2 linked regions of the Neurospora crassa OR74A genome follow. Each later gene encodes a partner of the first gene's protein in a complex. Links are inferred from orthologs where the notes say so. Each region holds a gene or a part of one and is shown on either strand. Other genes may lie near its edges.

What was found.
Region 2: NCU02781 (region 1) and NCU09572 share a complex: the UniProt entries of both Saccharomyces cerevisiae proteins name them as parts of the arp2/3 complex. The link is inferred for Neurospora crassa OR74A from reciprocal best matches to the Saccharomyces cerevisiae genes ARC40 and ARC18.

The regions. Positions count from the first base shown.
Region 1 is NC_026501.1:9,215,888-9,219,672, reverse strand, and holds NCU02781 (hypothetical protein), read left to right. Parts: upstream 1-1,364; 5' UTR 1,365-1,588; coding exon 1,589-1,811; intron 1,812-1,894; coding exon 1,895-2,737; intron 2,738-2,804; coding exon 2,805-2,845; 3' UTR 2,846-3,136; downstream 3,137-3,785. Other genes in the region: NCU02780 (U2 small nuclear ribonucleoprotein B), read right to left, coding at 136-447, 512-796; NCU02782 (hypothetical protein), read left to right, coding at 3,581-3,785. UniProt on the Saccharomyces cerevisiae protein: Functions as a component of the Arp2/3 complex which is involved in regulation of actin polymerization and together with an activating nucleation-promoting factor (NPF) mediates the formation of branched actin networks.
Region 2 is NC_026507.1:963,101-966,757, forward strand, and holds NCU09572 (ARP2/3 complex 21 kDa subunit), read left to right. Parts: upstream 1-1,413; 5' UTR 1,414-1,667; coding exon 1,668-1,673; intron 1,674-1,914; coding exon 1,915-2,307; intron 2,308-2,432; coding exon 2,433-2,612; 3' UTR 2,613-2,947; downstream 2,948-3,657. Other genes in the region: NCU09571 (tRNA (adenine-N(1)-)-methyltransferase non-catalytic subunit trm6), read right to left, coding at 3,213-3,657. UniProt on the Saccharomyces cerevisiae protein: Functions as a component of the Arp2/3 complex which is involved in regulation of actin polymerization and together with an activating nucleation-promoting factor (NPF) mediates the formation of branched actin networks.

The sequences.
Region 1 (3,785 bases):
GGTGCGTCTTCTGCATTGTCCTTCGAGAGGGCGAATTTTTCATCCATCCGCTTCATTGCGCCTTCATTTTTCGTCATCCTTCCCCACCGCGAGCTGGTATCTTAAACAAGAAGCAAATGCCATAGTGGACACCCATCAGTCCTCGTCGCTGTCTTCCTCCATAGCAACGTCCGAATCGCTCTCCTCCTCTTCTTCCTCCTCCTCCCGTGGCCGCTTCGTTCCCCGGTTCTCCTCTGCCGGTGTGGTTGTCTCCGTCCCGGGAGGCTTGGCTGGCGAACCTTGTGGTGCTGGACTCTCGGTATTCGTAGTAGGGGCGCCTGGTACTGGGGCACTAAAGATACTCTGTTGGACGGTGGTGAGGGCCACGGCGGCGGCGGCCTTGGGTGGCACGAGAGTACCGTCGAGTTTGGCGATGATGTTGGAGCGGCCCTTGGCGTAGGTGATTTTCTAGGCAAACCCAAGTTAGCATGTGAAGGGCTACCGCTGAAATATTCAACCCGAGAAGACCTACCATTTTGCGGCCCAAAAACTCCATGCCGTCAAGTGACCTCATGGCCTGTGTTGCTGTCTGAATGTCCCGGTAGACAATGTGTGCTTGCCCGCGCATCTTCATGGTCTTGAGAGCGACGACATCGAGGACGGGGCCGTAGGTGGAGAAGAGCATGTATAGTGCTGTACGGAGGTCGTCCTTCTGGATCTTAGCTGAGGGGAGGTTCGTGACGTAGAGAGTCTGGTTTGGCGGGTTCGAGACCACCTTTTGGGGGAGGCCCGCGGGGGGAGCAATACGCGTAGCCATTGCCGCGTAGGAATCCGGGAGTTGATGCTGTTGTTGTTTGTCCAATGCAGGTTGTTAATTGTCGCGTAGATTTTCAGTATATCGTAGGCGCCTCGTGGTAGGGGTTAATATCGTCAATTGTCTCGTCGTCGTCGTCGTCGTCGCTCGGGTGTATGATGTTCAGTGTTCAATCATGAATTCAAGTCGCGGCGGCGCATGCGATGTCGACAATTCAGATGCTGGTCCAAAAATTGGAGACAGTGGCCAGCCAGCCTACGAACCATCGAAATCGGTACACAAACCCCACGGGCGTGGGTGCAGCTTGTTGGAGGTACTGCGGTTGCGAGCAAAAGTAAAACCCCCTTGTCAGGTATCTTGCACGGACCACCACAGCCAGAGCTTCGTGAGCACTGTGTGGTCGACGACCTGATCCACGGGTTTAACTTACCCATCTCACCATAGTAGGTTCCAGTTCCAGGTGGGTCAGCCCCGGCCGGCAGCAGGGCACTCTTGGCGGCGTCACCCACCCGCAGCCAACCCCACCACCATACGCTGCCGCAACGGTGCCCCTGGAGCCTGGCGGTCTGACCTCATTTCAGGCGTCCAGCCCGCTGTAGTTACGGAGCTCTCCCGCTTCCCGTTCCCGGGCACAGCTTCCCCTTTCCAATTACAACATCCGGCTCCGACACCACCGAACCAAGACATTCGATCACACTCTCCGTCATCACCGTCCCCGATTCCGAGCGCGGTAGTAGAGAGCTATACTCCTATCGCATACCTTATTTCTACACAACACCAACCTAACAACCCACAATGGCTGCTCCCGAGGTCCACCATCTCTTCCACCACCCCATCGCCGACCACTCCTTCTCGGCCGATCGCCAGACCTTGGCCATTGCCCGCGACACCCAGGTCGAGCTCTACGGCAGAGTCGGCAATGCCTTCAAGCTCAAGGATGAGCTCAAGGGCCATGACAAGCTTGTCACCAGCGTCGACATTGCTCCCAACACCGGGCGTATTGTGACCTGCTCTCAGGGTAGGCCCCCCCTTTCGCAACCCAGGCACCCCATAATGCCACCATCACAGTCAGCTAGACTAACAACCAACCCCAACTCACAGACCGCAACGCCCTCGTCTGGGAACCCTCCCCCACCGGCTACAAGCCCACCCTCGTGCTCCTCCGTATTTCCCGCGCCGCCACCTTCGTCCGCTGGTCTCCCTCGGAAGCCAAGTTCGCCGTCGGCTCCGGCGACCGCGTCATCGCCATCTGCTACTTTGAGGAGGAAAACGACTGGTGGGTATCCAAGCACCTGAAGAAGCCGATCCGATCCACCATCACCTCTGTCGCCTGGCACCCCAACAGCGTTCTTCTTGCTGCCGGCTCCACCGACGCCCACGCCCGCGTCTTTTCCGCCTTCATCAAGGGCACCGACCAGCGCCCCGAGCCGAGCCCCTGGGGCGAGAGATTGCCTTTCAACACGGTCTGCGGCGAGTTCCTGAACAACTCTGCCGGATGGGTGCATTCTGTTGCCTTCAGCCCGAGCGGCGACGCTCTGGCGTTTGCGGCGCATGACTCCTCCATCACCGTCGTCTACCCCTCTGCGCCCGAGCAGCCGCCCAAGGCGGTGATCAGCATCAACACGCAGCTTTTGCCCTTTATGAGCCTCTTCTGGAACGGAGAGACTGAGATCATTGCTGCGGGTTACGATTGCGAGGCTTTCCGCTTCCAAGGCGGCGAGCAGGGGTGGCAGCTGGCCGGCACGCTGGAGAAGGCCAAGGCCGGAGGAAGACCGGGTCTTGGTGACGAGGACAGAGAGGAGTCTGCGCTGAACATGTTCAAGCAGATGGACCTGAAGGGTAAGGTCAGCAAGGATGATACCATGTTGAAGACGGTGCATCAGAATACGGTTACTATGTTGAGGCCCTTTGAGGAGAGTGGTGGACGGGTGACCAAGTTTAGTTGTGAGTGTTCCCCATTTTTACATGACCTGTGGTTTCAAGAATTATTGATGCTAACTTGACACAACAGCGAGCGGTGTTGACGGCAGAGTCGTCATCTGGCACACCTAGATTTCCCCTCGATGAAAGAGGGTTGCTGCACACATTGGGAAGCAGAAAAGCCAAGCAAGCAAGCGTAACATCTAATGTTAATGGAACAAGAGTGAATGGCTGATAATGAATCAGATTCAAAGTCAAGATCCATCAATGTCAGTTTAGCGGGTAACTTTCCCGGTCTTTGATTTCTGCCCTATCCGTGCTTCCCGGTATCCGCCAAAGTGATTGATTGTCCATTCACCCATTGTACAGAGACTTATCATGTCACTTCTCCACAGTGAGCTATCCGTTTGTCATGACCGCCCGGCCAATTTTGCAAGATATGTATGTGTGAATCAGACACACAGTCAAGAACAAATACAGGTTCAATACATACAAAGCAATTCATTGACTTCCGCTTGTGGCTTGCCGGACACATTCCGATTTGCCGTGATAACTTCCATAAAAGGATCATAAGAGAACTAATAACCGGCAGCAGGAGAAGTGCATGTCACAATTCATGTCCATACCTACCATTGTTTTGTCCCTGTCGATTATTTATTCCATATCCTTTCGCTCCTCATCCAGACCTTCAGCTTCAAAAGCAGTTTACCATAAGTAATCAGCCGTCCGTCACTCCGTCCCTTTCAGCTATCCAAACAAACTCAACTTACCTCGCTTTGCCTCCATCTTCCCTGCCTGCCTACTTCGTTGTCTGGTTAGAAGAAGAAACAGCGGGATCAGAAGAACCAAACAACAACAAACTGAACCATGGACCACAACAGTTCCTACGACTACTACCCATTCAACCACCCCCAACACCCTCTGTACTTTAACCCCGTATCTCCTGTTCATGTTCCTCCTCCTCCTCCTCCTCCTCCTGGTCATCCAGAACCAGAGGAACAAAAAGACTACCACCACTACGCTCCCGCATCACCAAGCGACTTTATTTACAACGCCAACTCCTCTGTCAACA
Region 2 (3,657 bases), on another chromosome or scaffold:
CGTTCCCTTTTTCTGGGGTCCCCTTTTTCTGTTGATCCAAGTCAGCCCCACGCACAAAACACAGGTGAAATCACACCAAATTCGCAGCGCCGGTAAAACATGCAAGCAACTCACCTGAAAACGAATGGTGCTTGGAATGATGTTTTGTTTTGGTTTGAGGAATGGAGAAAAGCGATCCAAAACAAGTCGCGCTGGTAACGACTGAGTCACCGTAAAGAGGGGGGAAAAAGCACTAGGATCAAAGTTTGCCTCCTAGTTCAAAAAAGTGGGAGGGGTTTGTCCGGGTTCTTGTGTTTGTCTTTGGGCGTGAAGAAGCGGAGGGCTGGTTTTAATGAACGATTGAAGAAGGCAGTTGTAGGTAGAGGAGAGAACCGTGACGCAGTGAGTGATGTGATGGGACTGGAGAACCCCAAATACCCCTCCATCACCCTTTCTCAGTGGACGGCGCACGACGGCGCTTTTGATTCCGCGTTGGTGCGTACACTACTATCACAGTACCTCTAAGCAGCGTAGTAGCGCTCTCGACTGGTGGTGTGCCTGTCGGGTGTGTGGCAGTCCCCGGCCGGATTTGCGTCGGATGAACAATTGCGCCAACAACAGCCAGCCAAGTCTGGACTGCTGGCTGATTTCATCATCTACGACGCGCTAGCACACGAGCTCCCGTGACTTATTGTCTTGGCATCCCCTCTTGTTTCTTCAATGTTTCTGCTTTCTGAGTCTTCTCCTCTCTCCTTGACGACGGGCCCCCCTGTTGTTCAAACAGGCAGCGGTGGGCGCAGCGCGGCGTTCACGGTGTTGAACTTCGTCCTATCCAACCAACATTCAGGTGTTGGCTCTCTTCCAGGTTGTTGGACTCGACCACGGCGTGAACCTCGGTCAATCTTCTTCCTTGAAAAATTCCGCCATAATGAGTAATGATGGGATGGATCCTTGGAACACCATCTTGAGCATGGAGTCCTGCTCTTTGTCTGGATTCCGAGACACAGCAGCTTAAGTTGCATGGAAAGCGGGCGCTCACGTCGAACGCGGTGGCTGACTACATGACACGTGAAGAGTCTTTGTGTAACTGAATCTTCCTCTGTATACCAATGGAGTGGCATTTTGACTTGTTCACATTCGCTCTCCTCCTTCAGATGATGCATTGTGCAAGACCTTCCGATTCCCCCGGGACTAGGTGGCTCCACTTCAGGCCGCAAAGATCCACTTTATCGGAGTCAAGCGAGCTGCTGCCTGTCCGATGACGAGGCCGGCTCCGGTAACTCTACACGTGATGGGAACCGGGAGTGCTTCATTGACTGTACCAGGCCTCATCCGGAGTCCGGACACAGCCACTGCTGAGCCACAAATTCAAATAGAAAGGTAACGCACAGACCAAGTCCAGCTCTACTGTCACAGAGTCCGTCACAGCGGCACGGTGCAAGCAGCGGTCGTCACCGCCAGCTCGACGTCAGCGCAGGAGAAGCCGCCATCGCCCATCGCTGGCACGCTGCAGGTCCAGGAAGGCCAGCCCAAGTCCAATTGACCCCATCACCCCGCAAGGCTGCGCCATAGAACCCGGACGCGGTCAAGTCAACACGACATCCCAGATTTACCTAACTTCCAACTTGAACACCATTTGCTTAATCTGGTAATAGCTTCATAGAGGGAGCTTGACACCAACCGTCACAATGCCGGTAAGCGCACCCATTCGCAAGCTCCCAACACCCAGCCGCTATGCGTATAGCTTCCCCAAGCTATACCAGCCAGCCAGCCAGCTACCCCTTAATCGTCAGACAAAGCTTCGTCCATGATCGCATCACCACCACCCACAACACCACGAACCGCTTTGCGCCCAATCGCATTTCTTCGCCTCTCGCCTCACCTCACACACAAATTCCCATTCTCAATCTCTCAACTAACGACGCCACTCTCTAGGCCTACAACTCCGTCTTCAACGCCGACCCCTCCCCCCGCCTAATCGGCAACTTCCCTCTCTTCCCGCTTCGCACCAAGATCCGCGGGCCGATCTACCCTCTCCCCTTCCCGGACCCTCCGCTCGCCGCCAACGAGTCGCCCGACCCGGACTCGGAGTCATACGACATTCTGGACGAGACGCTAGCTCTCTTCCGCGCCAACACCTTTTTCCGCAACTTTGAGATCCAGGGCCCCGCCGACCGCCTGCTGGTCTACGGCATCTGGTACATCAGCGACTGTCTGGGCCGCATCAAGCCGCACTATGGCGTTAGGGAGGCGACGAAGGAAGTGAACAATGCGGCGCTGGATGTGAACTTTGCGTTGCCGGGCGATCCTGGGTGGCCTTTGAATCAGGTGAGTTTTTTTGGCGTAAAGGATTTAGGGCGGAGATAGAATACGGTGAATGTGATGGGAGTAGATGTGGCCCGCGGCGGTGAACAAGAAAATGGATGGCAGCTAATAAGTTTGACGCAAAACAGATGTATGAACCCCCCCGCGACCGTCAAGACGCAGAAGTCCTCCGTCAGTACCTGTCGCAGGTCCGGCAGGAACTGGCGCAGAGGTTATTGGCGCGCGTGTACGACGACGAGACCGAGGACAAGCCGAGCAAGTGGTGGTTGAGCTTTACCAAGAGGAAGTTCATGGGCAAGGGACTCTGATGCGATGCCTTCCCTGTTCAGATGGCGTTGCATGGAATCGTTTAGCGCCAAAGTATAATACGTACTCTACACAAATAATATTTCAAGTTTCCTAGAGTGTGAGGGTGTGTTGGGGCGAGCGAGCAAGACTTTCAGTTGTTGTTGTTTTTGCGTGGTCCGGTTCGATCAGGCATAGATCGAGTACACATACACTTGAAACCCGATCATGAGCGACATGGGTTATATCTCCAGTTGACGTTCGATTAGTAGAATTACTGCAGCTCTATTTCGTGCAAATGGTATCTAAGAGCAAACGAGATCTATGCATATCGGTCATGCTGGTTCTCCTAACTGCTACCACTATCAGACTCCTGCTCATTGTTTGCCCGCCTTTCATGGACAAAGCATAATCATTTAAACCCATGGTCGCCTCCACTCCTCCTCGGCTGGTCGAGTCCACCTACTGTAAGCGAGCCTCGAAACGCTCTAACTGTCTTTTCCTTTCTGACTTTCCCTCGACCTCATTGCTTCCGTGGAAACCTCTGTGTGAGATCTTCCGATGCACGGGGAGAGAAGTGGCATCCTTGAACTCCCATAAATAACTCTTTCCGACCAATCCACTCATGCCGAAGCCGGCGTCGAAACGCTCTCCTCCACCTTTCTCCTCTTAAATTTGCCCTTGGCCGCAATCTTGCCCTCCGCTGGCTTCGCTCTCCATCCAGTAAAGATATATCCATCCGCACCACCGCGCTCCGTCATCAACGGATGCGTCCTGCCCGGCAACACCTGCCACCTCCTCGCCCTGCTAGTCTGGATGCTTGTGCCCAGTAACAGCGTGGGGTTGAGAGGGAACTGCTCGCTTCCCTCCCACTTTTCCAGCTCTTCGGCCGTCTTGCCCTGGATCTCCGCCACGTGTCCGCTGTTCCACGCCGTCCTCCTGGCAACGCTGAAGCAATCGGCTAGTGTCGCGAGAGGCTCGAGAGAAGGGGAGTAGATGGCCACGGGGGCGCCGCCGGCCAAGAGGGGAAGGGCGTGCTTGAGGATCGAGATCGGGTCCATGGTGCTG